Linked DNA regions of Drosophila melanogaster. The protein of the gene in region 3 interacts with the protein of the main gene of each other region in a pairwise test. Each region holds a gene or a part of one and is shown on either strand. Other genes may lie near its edges. The genes, in order: shep, CG43897 and CG44251.

Region 1 (3,756 bases), on a different chromosome or scaffold from region 3:
TCTAGAAAGATTTCATTTAAAGGTTGTAGTTAATTATTGCAGGGACAAACAATAATATAATAAAGTACAATTTTTTTTCAAAATTTTGGATGTCCAAATTATTAGGTATACATATTTATTTAACTTTCTTTACCAGTTTTCACTGTTTTAAAATTCGTTGATTTCTTGCTTCATTTTTGTTGTATATTGTTTTTCTGCCGCTGCTGCTTTGGAAAATTTGCATATCTCGATAGTGTCAGTAAATTTGCATATTTAAGATAAATTTAAATTCCTTGCATGTTTTGTTGTATTAACATTTTTTTTTTGTTCCATCCAATTTCATTTCGAGTATTGTCCTTTCTGTCTGCTCCTGATGCTGCTTCTTGTTTGTTGGTCCTGGCCCATTCTTCAAATTTTGTCGTTGCTATTGCAAATTTATTGTTTGTAGGCTTATGGGGCGGTGGGAGTGGCAGTACAGGCTGTCTTCATATATGTATTTATACTTGGAGATGTTACAGTCGCGAGTCAAGTAATTAGATATAAAAGCTTAATTGTAAAAAAAAGTTGTTATCTATTGAAATGTATCAAGCTGGATAAAAATAAAATATATATATATATTTAAAATCAAAGTCGCCGTAAAAGTTTAAATGTTTATATTTTTTCGCCCGCTGCTGTCTGAGTGGTTGGGTTTTATGTGGGCAGTGGGCGTGGCAGTGCTTTACAATGCGTGGGAGTCGCTCTCATTTCGATTTTTTCAGTTTTAACCCCCTATCTGCTTATTTTTCGTTGTCGTCATCATGCATCATTTGTTTAGTCCCTTAGTCCTTTGTTATGTGCCAAAAGCTATGGGGCGGTGGGTGGTGGTTGGTGAAAAGCGGGCGGAAGGACGTGTGGTGTGTGTCGCCCTTTTATGCGACGCACTTGTTGAGAATATTAATTTTATTTAAATATTTCAAAATAACACACTAGATGCTGTTGCTGGCTTTACAGTTTTTGGTGCACACGTTTTTATTTTATTTTTTTTTTTATTTTGCGCCATTTGCGTAATGAACTGATATAATGGGATTGGGAAAACTGACAACCATGTGTATCAAATTTGAAAAAGGAAAGTTATATAAACTTAGCACTGAAAATAGGCTTTTAAAATGGTGATTTTAATTGGTTAAATCGGATCTTTATTTTTGATTAGTGACGAAATGTAATGACGAAAACTTTGTATGCAATGCATATTTTCGAATATTTACAATGTTATTTCGATTTTTTAATTAATAATCTTGAATTTTATTCCAGAAAATAAAAAAAATATAATGCATGAAATTAATAAAATTGTTATAAATAATACAGTAGAAACCCGAAAGAGTTTCGTTAAACAGCAAAGCGCAAGCTAATAAGAGGCAATAAGAAGAGAAATTTTCTAAGAGAGTACAATTTGAAGAGAAGAAATATATACAGTAGCGGAAAAAGGAGTATGTACACAGAATATATTTGCTACACGGCCACATATCCAACCCGAAGTTAAAGTTCTTGTGCTATTTTATTAAGACCTTTATTATTATGCTACTCGCCGCTGAAAATTCTTTTTTACACAATGTTTAAACTACATAGAGTAAAAGAAAATATTTAATATTATGAGTCGCACCTAGACTATTTTCCGCTACTGTAGATTGCTGTAAATTAAGCGAGAGAGCGAAGAGAGCATTGCCGGCAGAAAAGGAAGAAGAAGAAGCTCATACCATTGCCGATTGCTGTCGCGTTGCGCTTTCTTCGTTTTTTTCGGCTGCGCAAACTTATATTTTGTCGTTGTAATATTTTGCATAAATATATAAATTAAAACGCGTGACGGAACAACAAACAAATAACGAAGACAGCAAAATAAAAGGGCGAAAAATCGAAACGAAAACGAGTCGAATTACTTTCAAGTGCAAATAGTGTGCGTGGGCGTGAGATTGTGTGTGTGTGTTGTGTTTGTGCGACTGTGAGTGCGTGTGTTTGTGTGCAAAAAAAAAACAGAACGTGCAACAAGAAGCAAGAAGAAGAGCCATCAGCAGCTGACAAACCAGCAATAAAACGAAATTTCAATAAGTAAGCAACATTTAGGCAAAGCTAAAATCCAAAAGCAAATCGAACAAGAGGAAAAACTACCTTTGGAAGCCCCGCAAAGCAGACGTAACAATGGCAAAAGCAACAAATTTGCGGCTCTCAGCTAATTGAAAGCGAATGTTGTTGTTTTAGAGCAATGCACTCGATAAAAAATACATAAAGCAATGGCATAAAAATACAAAAATAAGAACGGCACAGCACAGCAGACGAAAAACAATAATACAACTGGGAAAAACGAAAAAGTCAAATGAGAGAAAGAGAGAGAGAGCAATAATTATTTAAATCTTATCGCAGTGCAAATTTATTTTTCACCTTTTGCTTTGCTCACTTGTTGTTTGCCGGTGCTCTTTCCACCCGCTCTTTGTTCTCTCTCTCTCTACTCTCTTTCTCTTGTGCACTGCGCTCTCCTTCTCTATTTTGCTGTCATTGTCCTTAAATAAGCAATAACAAAAAATAGCAACAACAACAAGTGCAATTGATAAAAAGCAATAGCGTAAAAACAATTGAATAATTTCCTCCGCATATCAATAAATTATTGTGTGTTCCTGTGTGTTTGTGGCTGTCTGGCGGCATATAAATAAATTTGCAAACCAAAAAAAATTGGCTGGCCTGTGCTGTGTGCTATTTTTAATGCCAAAATGCAAATGTTGCAACTGCCGCGCGGGAAAGAGACAGAAACAGTGCTAAAATAACTCGCTGAATGCTCCGTTGCAAGTAAAAAAAACAATTTAAGACGGGTGGTGCTAATAATAATCAACAAAGTTGCTAGTGAAATATTAATAACAAATTATAAGCACGGCAAAATAAGCTGAATATGGCACAGAATGCTAAAAAGAAGCAATAAAAATAGAGAGTGGGAGAGAGAAAGAAGAGTGCAGAGAACAGTGTTGCCGTGCGGCAGTCAGAGCAAACGGGTTGGGCTGTAAAAAAGTGGTAGAAAAATAGACGAAAAGTTTAATTAGCAGAAAAAATACTGACCTCATTTTATACATTAAAATATATAATCTTTGTTTTATTATTTAATAATAATAATGATTTAATTAATTACAAACAAACTGTCATAATTAATTTAGGTTGAGCAGTTGATCTGTATAAAAAATGGGGTCTAGTTAAGACTGTATCTCCAATTAATGCAAATGTTTATATCTGCAACGTCTTAAGATTATAGAATATTTACAATTATGACTCATTCTTTCTAATCTGCATTATCTCATTTACTCCCCTTTTCGCAGTCACAAGTCAATTTAAGAGTGCTATTAAGAAACTAGAAAAAATGCACCCACGATACAGCCCAGCCCCGCCCCCTCAGCAACAGCAACAGATGGGCGGACCGCCACACCAGCAGCAGGGCGGCGGGGGAGGTGGAGGCGTTAGCATGAGGGGGCCATCGAATGCCCAGCAATTGCCGCCGCAGATTCCGAGATCCCAGAACTATTCAAACGTAAGTCAAATACATATTGCATCTTTATAATACAGACAATATTAGAATATCTATTATTTAACTGAAGTGTACAGTTTTACGAAAATGATTTAAGTCTTAAAACGTAGAAAGTCACCATTACCCCTTCGAAACTCGAAAGCAATTCGAAATAGCCTGTTAAAAAAAAAGTGTTGGGCAAACATTTAAGCAATCAGAGATCAACAAAGGCATCAATCAATCAATAGCTTCGTGCATCA
Region 2 (3,756 bases), on a different chromosome or scaffold from region 3:
AAAAACAATTTCAATTCTAATGTGCCATTAATCATTCACAAACATTAAACATATTATTTTTTGCTGGCTTTCTAGCGTGAAATACAGGCAGCTTAGTTGCCTGTCAGGTGCTCTGCAGCGGAGCTTTTTGTGCATGGGTTAAATTTCGCTGACAGGCGCAGGAGCGAGGGGATGTTGGGGGGGGGGGGGGGGTTAGCGGGCGGTACAGGTGGGCGGTGCACAGGTGAGCAATGGCGAGAACACACACTGAATGCACTAATTGTTGTGCTTGAGCGCATCGAAAGCACATGAACTTGTGAAATTGCAGGGCACAACAATATAACAGCGCTAAGTTGCTGATTCTGACGATCATGCGGCCGCTGCTCTTGATGGCAAAACAAAATTTCCAAAAATATAAGCAGATGGAAACTACAACTAGAGAGAATGACATAGACGAGTTCCCCAACTATCAGATACTCATCGTTACTCAGCTGGTAAAAGATATTTAAAAACATAGAAAAATATCAAAACATTTTTCAAAAGTTTGGTCGTCGCTGTATTGGGCGGCTTGTGGGCGTGGCAAAATATGAAAATAAACTCTATCTCTCTAGTTTTTATAGCTACTGATATCGAGGCCACATCGATATTATATCTGGGTTCCCGCTAGAATCCTGCTAGAGATCCCACCAGAGTCCTTCCACCTGTTACATACTTTTCAATGAATATAGTATACCCTTTTTCACTACGAGACACGGGTATAAATACTCAACGCACAAACAATGAGCGGGGGATAACGAACAAATATCGAAACGTGTGTTAACAGACGCCTGTCTAATGCCGTGCTCGAATATCACACTGAAAAAAATATCTGTTAAGATAGTACTTATGTAAATATTTAAAAAAGGCCATTTAGGATACATTTGGGTATATTTTTATCTTAGCTTAATTCTCATCAGAAAAGTTTTCTTAAATACATGAGTAGAACGTTATATACATTCCTTTTTCATTCCATCAATGCTTATGATTGCTTTTTAGTTTTATTAAAAATTTAGAAACATAAAGGTAAGAAAAAGCAATTTCAGATTGAGCTTCTAACGAACCAGATTATCTTGGTGTAGATTTTTGTTTCTTTTCCGAGTTAAATGGTATTAAGTAAATGAACACTACCTTACAATATTTGAACAAGATTTTCGCCTCTGTGCAGCAATTTCAATTGTGTGCGGTTTCACTTCAATCAACTGCAAATAGAAATCCAATTTAAGCCCAGCTTGTCGACGCTGCCAAAAGTATGCAATGAAAAAATATGAAACTTAAATAAACTAAACCATGCATCTAGTCGATATAACCCGGTATGTTTGCAGGGCATTCGAAACGTTTTCAATGGCTTTCCAAAAATCCAAAAATAAACGTTCAATATTTAGAGGAACATGCATATAAAATTGGTATCGTATGCGTGTGAATAGGTGGAGAAGAAATGTACTACATATATCGAATCGTTGTTTTCTTGTTAATTAGCTGTTTTAGCACACATGCCACTCTGTGTGTGTGTGTGTGTGTGCGTATGTATGTTGGTGCTGAATATTTATCGCTTTTCCACTAACGCTTCTTGGCTTGAAGTGCTCTTTTCCTTATTTTCCTGTTGGCTTCAGCAAGTGGAATAGGGGGCATTTGTGATTAGCCCAATGTCCGTGGCTAATTTATAATCGGGTGTGAGTGGGCGTTCTATGCTTTTTGGCTAAGGCGGAGGATTGGGCTGGGTGCCCCCCACACACACACACACACACACACACAAAAGATACACCCGATGGGGTGTCATCATCAGCGATTTTCCATGAATATGAAAATATATTATTAAAAGGCAACTAGAGCAAGAGCAACTTTTGCTGCTTTCGCGAACTTTTCCGTCGACAGCAGCAGCGCTAGCAGCGACTTTCGTTGAGCGGCGAGTAACAATAATAATTCGCACCGTGGTCGCGAACGTGGTCACCACATCAGCCAGCTCCTAGTTCCGAGTGTACCGACAATCCCGAGTCCGAATTTCGAGTCCGGTACGGTACGACAGTGCAACGCCAGTGCATCAGCGACAGGTGCACCTTTGTGTGTGGGCATAAAAGTGTAATGTGTGTGTGTGTGTGTGTGTGTGTGTGTGCGTGCTGCACCAGAAAACCCAAAAATAAATGCCAGAAAATGTGTCACCTGCAAATAGTGGCGAACAATGAAAAAAATATGAAAAACTCCCAGCCGCGAAAGAGCCATCAAAAATTAATTAAATAAAATGCATTAAAGGAAAACCAAAGCGATATATATTATATATATATATGTATATATATAATTGTCCATTGCATTTGCATCCAGCACACACACAAAAGCTAATTAGCATTTAAAGCACAATTAAAAAGTGGAGCCGTAAAGGCGGCTGGCAAAATAAAATCAACTTCAACCGCGAGAAAAACCAAAAAGCCAGAAAGCACAAAACCAAAAACTGAAAACTGAAACACAAAAATACTGAAAACCCATTTTGCTGCAAGTGAAACAATTAAATGGCATTTTAAGCGCATTTCTTCCCCTTTTCCCCTCGATTTCTATATGGACTCTTTCTTTGTGCTATTTTCATGGTACGGGGGGAAAATCGCTTACCAAAAATACAAAAAAAAATACAAAAAAAGAAGACATATAAAAGTCCGGAGGGTAAAAATGTTGACATCGCTGGCGAGGACGTGGAAAGCCAGAACGAAAATCAAATAAATAAAATTAAAGAAAAACCAAGAACTACGCTCAAAAATAGAATATTAGAGACGTGCCGTGTTATGTTGGTGGTCGGTGGAGGGGGGGGGGGCGCGAGGGGTGCGGCAGTAAAAATGCTGTAATAGTCGGGCCTTATAGCCTGCATATACAATCTATAGCTACAGATACAAATGTATCTATCCATCTTTCGCTGCCGCTGTCTCCATCTTGTCGCTCATCGACGGCGACCGAATATTTTTTATACATATATAATTCATTTTTTCTGCCGCTCTCTTCTTTTTTTTTAATGTTTTTTTTTAACTATTTGGTTTATTTGTTGTTCTTGCTGGCGGGTGGGCAAAAAGAGGTCTAAATATGTGGCCAACTTACAGTGGCGGTTGGAAAAAGAAGGTGTTCCTACAATGAATCAGCATCGAAGATTTGTGGGTGTTTTGAACACATTTTCATACCCATTGCCTAGCTTTTGAGCTTTCCTGCACTGTAATCCCCTTTGTTTTCAATTTTGAACTCAAGGTGGTAATTTTGATGTCGATATTTTGAATATCTGCCAAATGCGCTTCAATGTATTTTAATTTAATGCCATCATTATTGTTAATTAGGTAATAAAAGTCACTCATCCATATGTGCAAATGCGTAAGCGGTTCGGCTTTTCAAAAATAAATCATTTTAATTAATTGAACTCTCGTTCTCTGGCTGCAAATATATCAATATGTTTAGCCGATGAACATTCCTGCACTTTTTGACTACAACTCGTTGACAGTATTTATTTGATGTATTCAAAATAAATGTAGATATTTATAAATGCCTCTGAAATGCTATTTTAATATAAATTTAACAACATTTAAAGTGCTTGATAAATTGCTTTATACTTCGTTTTGGAAAACTTATAATTCTTGTATATCATTTATCATTCTTAATATAAATATAATAATAGGACGGTTGAGGCTAAGGGTGCAGTGATTCTCCAGTATTACAAATACTTTTGTTATTTTTTAAATTTTAATAGAATAGCTGAATTTCATAGAACTATTA
Region 3 (3,756 bases):
GGGTTAGACCTACCTCCTGTCCGCCGTAGGGGATGTACAAACACTGGTGCGAGGGATGGACCTTGCCGGGGGTGAGGCTGCCCTGGAAGTAACCACGGCCCACGTACAGGGGCTCACCCTCGCCAGTCTGGCCCACTTGGATGGCATGGGGCGGGACAGATCCACCACTGGACGGGATCCAGGAGAAGTGATCACCGACAAGGACCTCGAAGTCATGCTTGCTGATCTCCTGACCGCCCCATGGCACATAGGCCTGCTGCTTGCCGGGCACCACCTTCGCTGGCAGCATCTCTCCATTGTGGTAGGCACGGCCCACAAAGATGGGATCCTGGTCGGAGTCGTGGCCAGCTAGGATGGCTCCTGGGGGCAGGGATCCGTAAACGTTGGTGCTAATCCAGGTGTAGTCTGAGGGCGAATAAAATATATATATAGAGCAAGGTCAGAGGCGATAAGTTAACTTGGGCCAACGAGGGCCAACTGTACACCATTAATCAGCCACAGTAGAGGTTTTTTGTCTTTTATTTGTCAGGGTGTAGAATCGCTGGATCTATGGAAAGCTACCAAAGCTCCAAGGGATTTCGGCTGTCAGGTGCGCGGAGTATCGATGACACTTGCCCACTTGTCACGACTAATTGCGGCACTATGCTTTCGTTTTCGCCAGAATTATCTTAGTCACTAACTTTGCACTTCAGTTCTCACCTCCCATGTTGTATTTGTGTGCTTTTTTTGTATGTTGATTTAGGTCTGGAACGTGATGTTATATACTCGCTGGCTCCGCTATGTTTGGGCTGACTTCAACGACTGGTCGCTACCCGCACATCGGTTGCGCCTTAAAAGCTGTTGTTTCCGCTTATCAGTTCGGCAAGTTAGCCGGCAGTGATAAGATATCTTAGTCACACTGCTCTGAACCGTTCGATTGTGTGTGTTCCACAAAGGTATCCTCATGTCGTAGAGGGTGTTCGTCATTGCGACCAACTGACAGGTGTGTCAGAATGTATATTGGATGATTTTGTTTGGTAAAAACAATTTAAATTCTGGGTTAAACAGGAAGCGCAACCAAAATTACTCAATCGATCTTGTGCATGAATATTTGTTTTTGTTTTTGCGGGTTTTATCTATAAGCAGTTGGCTACGAATCTTATCGCCGGTAGTCAAAAATAAACTTCATCAATAAGTTCGTAAAAGATTATATGTATGAGGGTGGCTGTCCATGGATCAACTATAAGTTCAGGAATGCTTTTCTAGAACAAAAATAAGAACCAACATGTAAACAGTTACCTAACCTTCTTGTGGATTATTCAAATCATAAACCTAATAATTGAGAAACCTTTGGAAAACTAACTGTAACTGTTGTAAAGTTACAGACACTTGTTTGGTCTAAAGATGAGTCAATTGCGATATAAAGTTATTGATATCGTTACCGCTGAGTCACATATGTATATTTATACTTTTTAATGCCTTTTATGCCTTACATAAATGCATACATACATATGTCCTTTGAAATCAGTTTGTTTGTTATTACAAAGAAATTATTAATTAAAAGAGATAAAATAAGCACATACATTACACTAAAGGTTTAAAGATTATTTTTAATATTTCAGTAGGTAAAAAATAATTCAAAATGAATGATCCTTTTTCTATTAAAAGTACAAATTTTCGACATGCTTATCGCCCCTTCAACGGGGGGGATTTTTTGAGCATGGGCGCTTCTGGCAGGCGTCATATTGTTTATGGGTCTATTTAATTGGGGTTCCACCTGTTGAGAGGGCACAACAATAACATTTAAAACAATGTCCACATGCTTCGATTTACTTGTTTTTTTCTTTTACTCCCAAAAGTACCGCCTGTTTGGGCCAATGATTCATTTTCGATCGATAAATGGAATGCTTTTCTGGAAATGGAGCTTTCGAGACTGGAAGTTAAAATTAGTGATAGCAAAGGTCCCAATATCAACTGCACTTCTTTTTTTATATATGTACAAATGCGAATTGAAAGATAAAAGCTCGCCGATAAGAAGCAGTGACGAATCGCTCTGGTTCGGTTTTTAAACGTCAGGCTTTTGCAAACCAATAGTTTAGTGAAAAGACAAACTTTGGTCAGTTCAGACGCATTTTGGAGTCAGAAGAACGCAAGTGAATAAAAGAAACTATTTTTCATAGGAATAACTTATCAACAATTAACGCACAATGGGTAAGTAGAATGAGTAACCTCTGATAAGTGCAACCAAAAAAAAAAAAATGATTTTGCAATGCCAAAGTCTAATGAAATAAGTGTAATTTACCTTCAAGATCATCAAAATCAAAAAATATATTGTTGCATATTAGCTTAATTAAATTCAATTTCCCAATTACGGGCGAAGAAATCCGCAAGTGCTGACCAATTCTGTTGGTATTGCGATTTTTTTCTCTGTGCACATTAGCCGGAAGAAAAGCAAAGAGCATTGAGTGACTTCTACAGTTCTCCGCCTTTCTTTGCTCTTTCCAGGCGCCGTGCAGCCAGGAGGAGTTGTGACCGTTGGTAGGACGAGTGCAGTGAGCCCAGGGTGAAACCCCTACGCCTCTGTGAAACCCCAAATCCCATTTGATCCCCGCCCCCAGACCACCTAGGCCACCCAAAACCACCCAAACCCGCAAAACCGTACAGCAAGCCAAATATGTACACGGAGAAAAAGCTATGAGAGTATGAGTATAGAGTGAATCATTATATTGTACATTGTACTTAATTTTTAATCAAAACCGTATCCATTTAATAATGCAGCTTCGGGATGATAAATGTTTACCTTTTGAAAAAGTACGAAGTTAGTAAATCTTAATCTTTTTTTTTTTAATAACAATATATAATATCTATCAAGACAATATTAATATAACAGTGATTTAAATCAATCAAGTAGAGTTTTAAGATATTTCCAATGGAAAGGACACGAAACTTACTCTCCGGTTTTCGCTCTGTGTACAGATAGGTTATCTTATCGCGTGGTATCAAACTTATCGCCCTACTGCCTTTCTCCTTGCAGACAACACCTGGGTGCACTCGTCTCCATACAGCCCCCTGCCCCCATACGCGGTTATCGGTGGCCATGACTCGGACCGCACGCCCATCTATGTGGGTCGATCCTTTCACGAAGGCGAGAATCTTCCCGCCAAGGTCGTACCGAGCAAGGGATGCGCCTATGTGGCCTACGGTGGTGCGGAGCACACGAAGACGCACTACGAGGTGCTGGTGGGTCAGGGATTTGCCTGGGTGCCCAGTTCCAGCGGTGGAGTGCCACCGAATGCGGTGAGGAGCGGAACGACGCGAACGGGCGAGCCGCTCTATGTGGGACGCGGACATCATGCCGGAAGCTTGACTGTGGGCAAAGTTCATCCATCGCACGGCTGCCTATACATTCCATTTGGCGGCCAGGAGGTGCGCATCAACACCTACGAGGTGCTCATCAAGCAGCAGCACGACGTCTGGGTACCGGCCTCGCCCAGTTACACTCCTCCGGGCGCAGTGATCGCCGGACACGACTCCGACCGTACTCCCATTTACGCCGGAAGGGCAATGCACGAGGGTGAAATGCTGCCTGCCAAGGTGGTGCCGAGCAAGGGAACCGCCTACGTTTGCTTCGGCGGATACGAATTCCAGAAGCCCAGCTACGAGGTGCTCACTGGCTACGGATATGTATGGATGAATTGCGGCCACAGCATTCCACCAAACGCCGTAACCACGGGTCGTGCTCGCAATGGAGAGCTGCTGTACTATGGGCGAGGACAC

What was found.
Region 1: the proteins of CG44251 (region 3) and shep interact in a two-hybrid assay, tested with the Drosophila melanogaster proteins (one large-scale study listed by BioGRID).
Region 2: the proteins of CG44251 (region 3) and CG43897 interact in a two-hybrid assay, tested with the Drosophila melanogaster proteins (one large-scale study listed by BioGRID).

Annotation. Positions count from the first base shown.
Region 1 is NT_037436.4:5,275,919-5,279,674, reverse strand, and holds the start of shep (alan shepard), read left to right. Parts: upstream 1-1,730; 5' UTR 1,731-2,061; intron 2,062-3,311; 5' UTR 3,312-3,352; coding exon 3,353-3,520; intron 3,521-3,756.
Region 2 is NT_037436.4:9,811,896-9,815,651, forward strand, and holds the start of CG43897 (uncharacterized protein), read left to right. Parts: upstream 1-1,951; 5' UTR 1,952-2,027; exon of another isoform or gene 2,028-2,066; intron 2,067-3,756.
Region 3 is NT_033778.4:12,950,607-12,954,362, reverse strand, and holds the start of CG44251 (uncharacterized protein), read left to right. Parts: upstream 1-2,069; 5' UTR 2,070-2,186; coding exon 2,187-2,190; intron 2,191-2,484; coding exon of another isoform or gene 2,485-2,517; intron 2,518-3,013; coding exon of another isoform or gene 3,014-3,756. Other genes in the region: CG13321 (uncharacterized protein), read right to left, coding at 14-405, 700-706; CG44250 (uncharacterized protein), read left to right, coding at 2,187-2,190, 2,485-2,517, 3,014-3,756.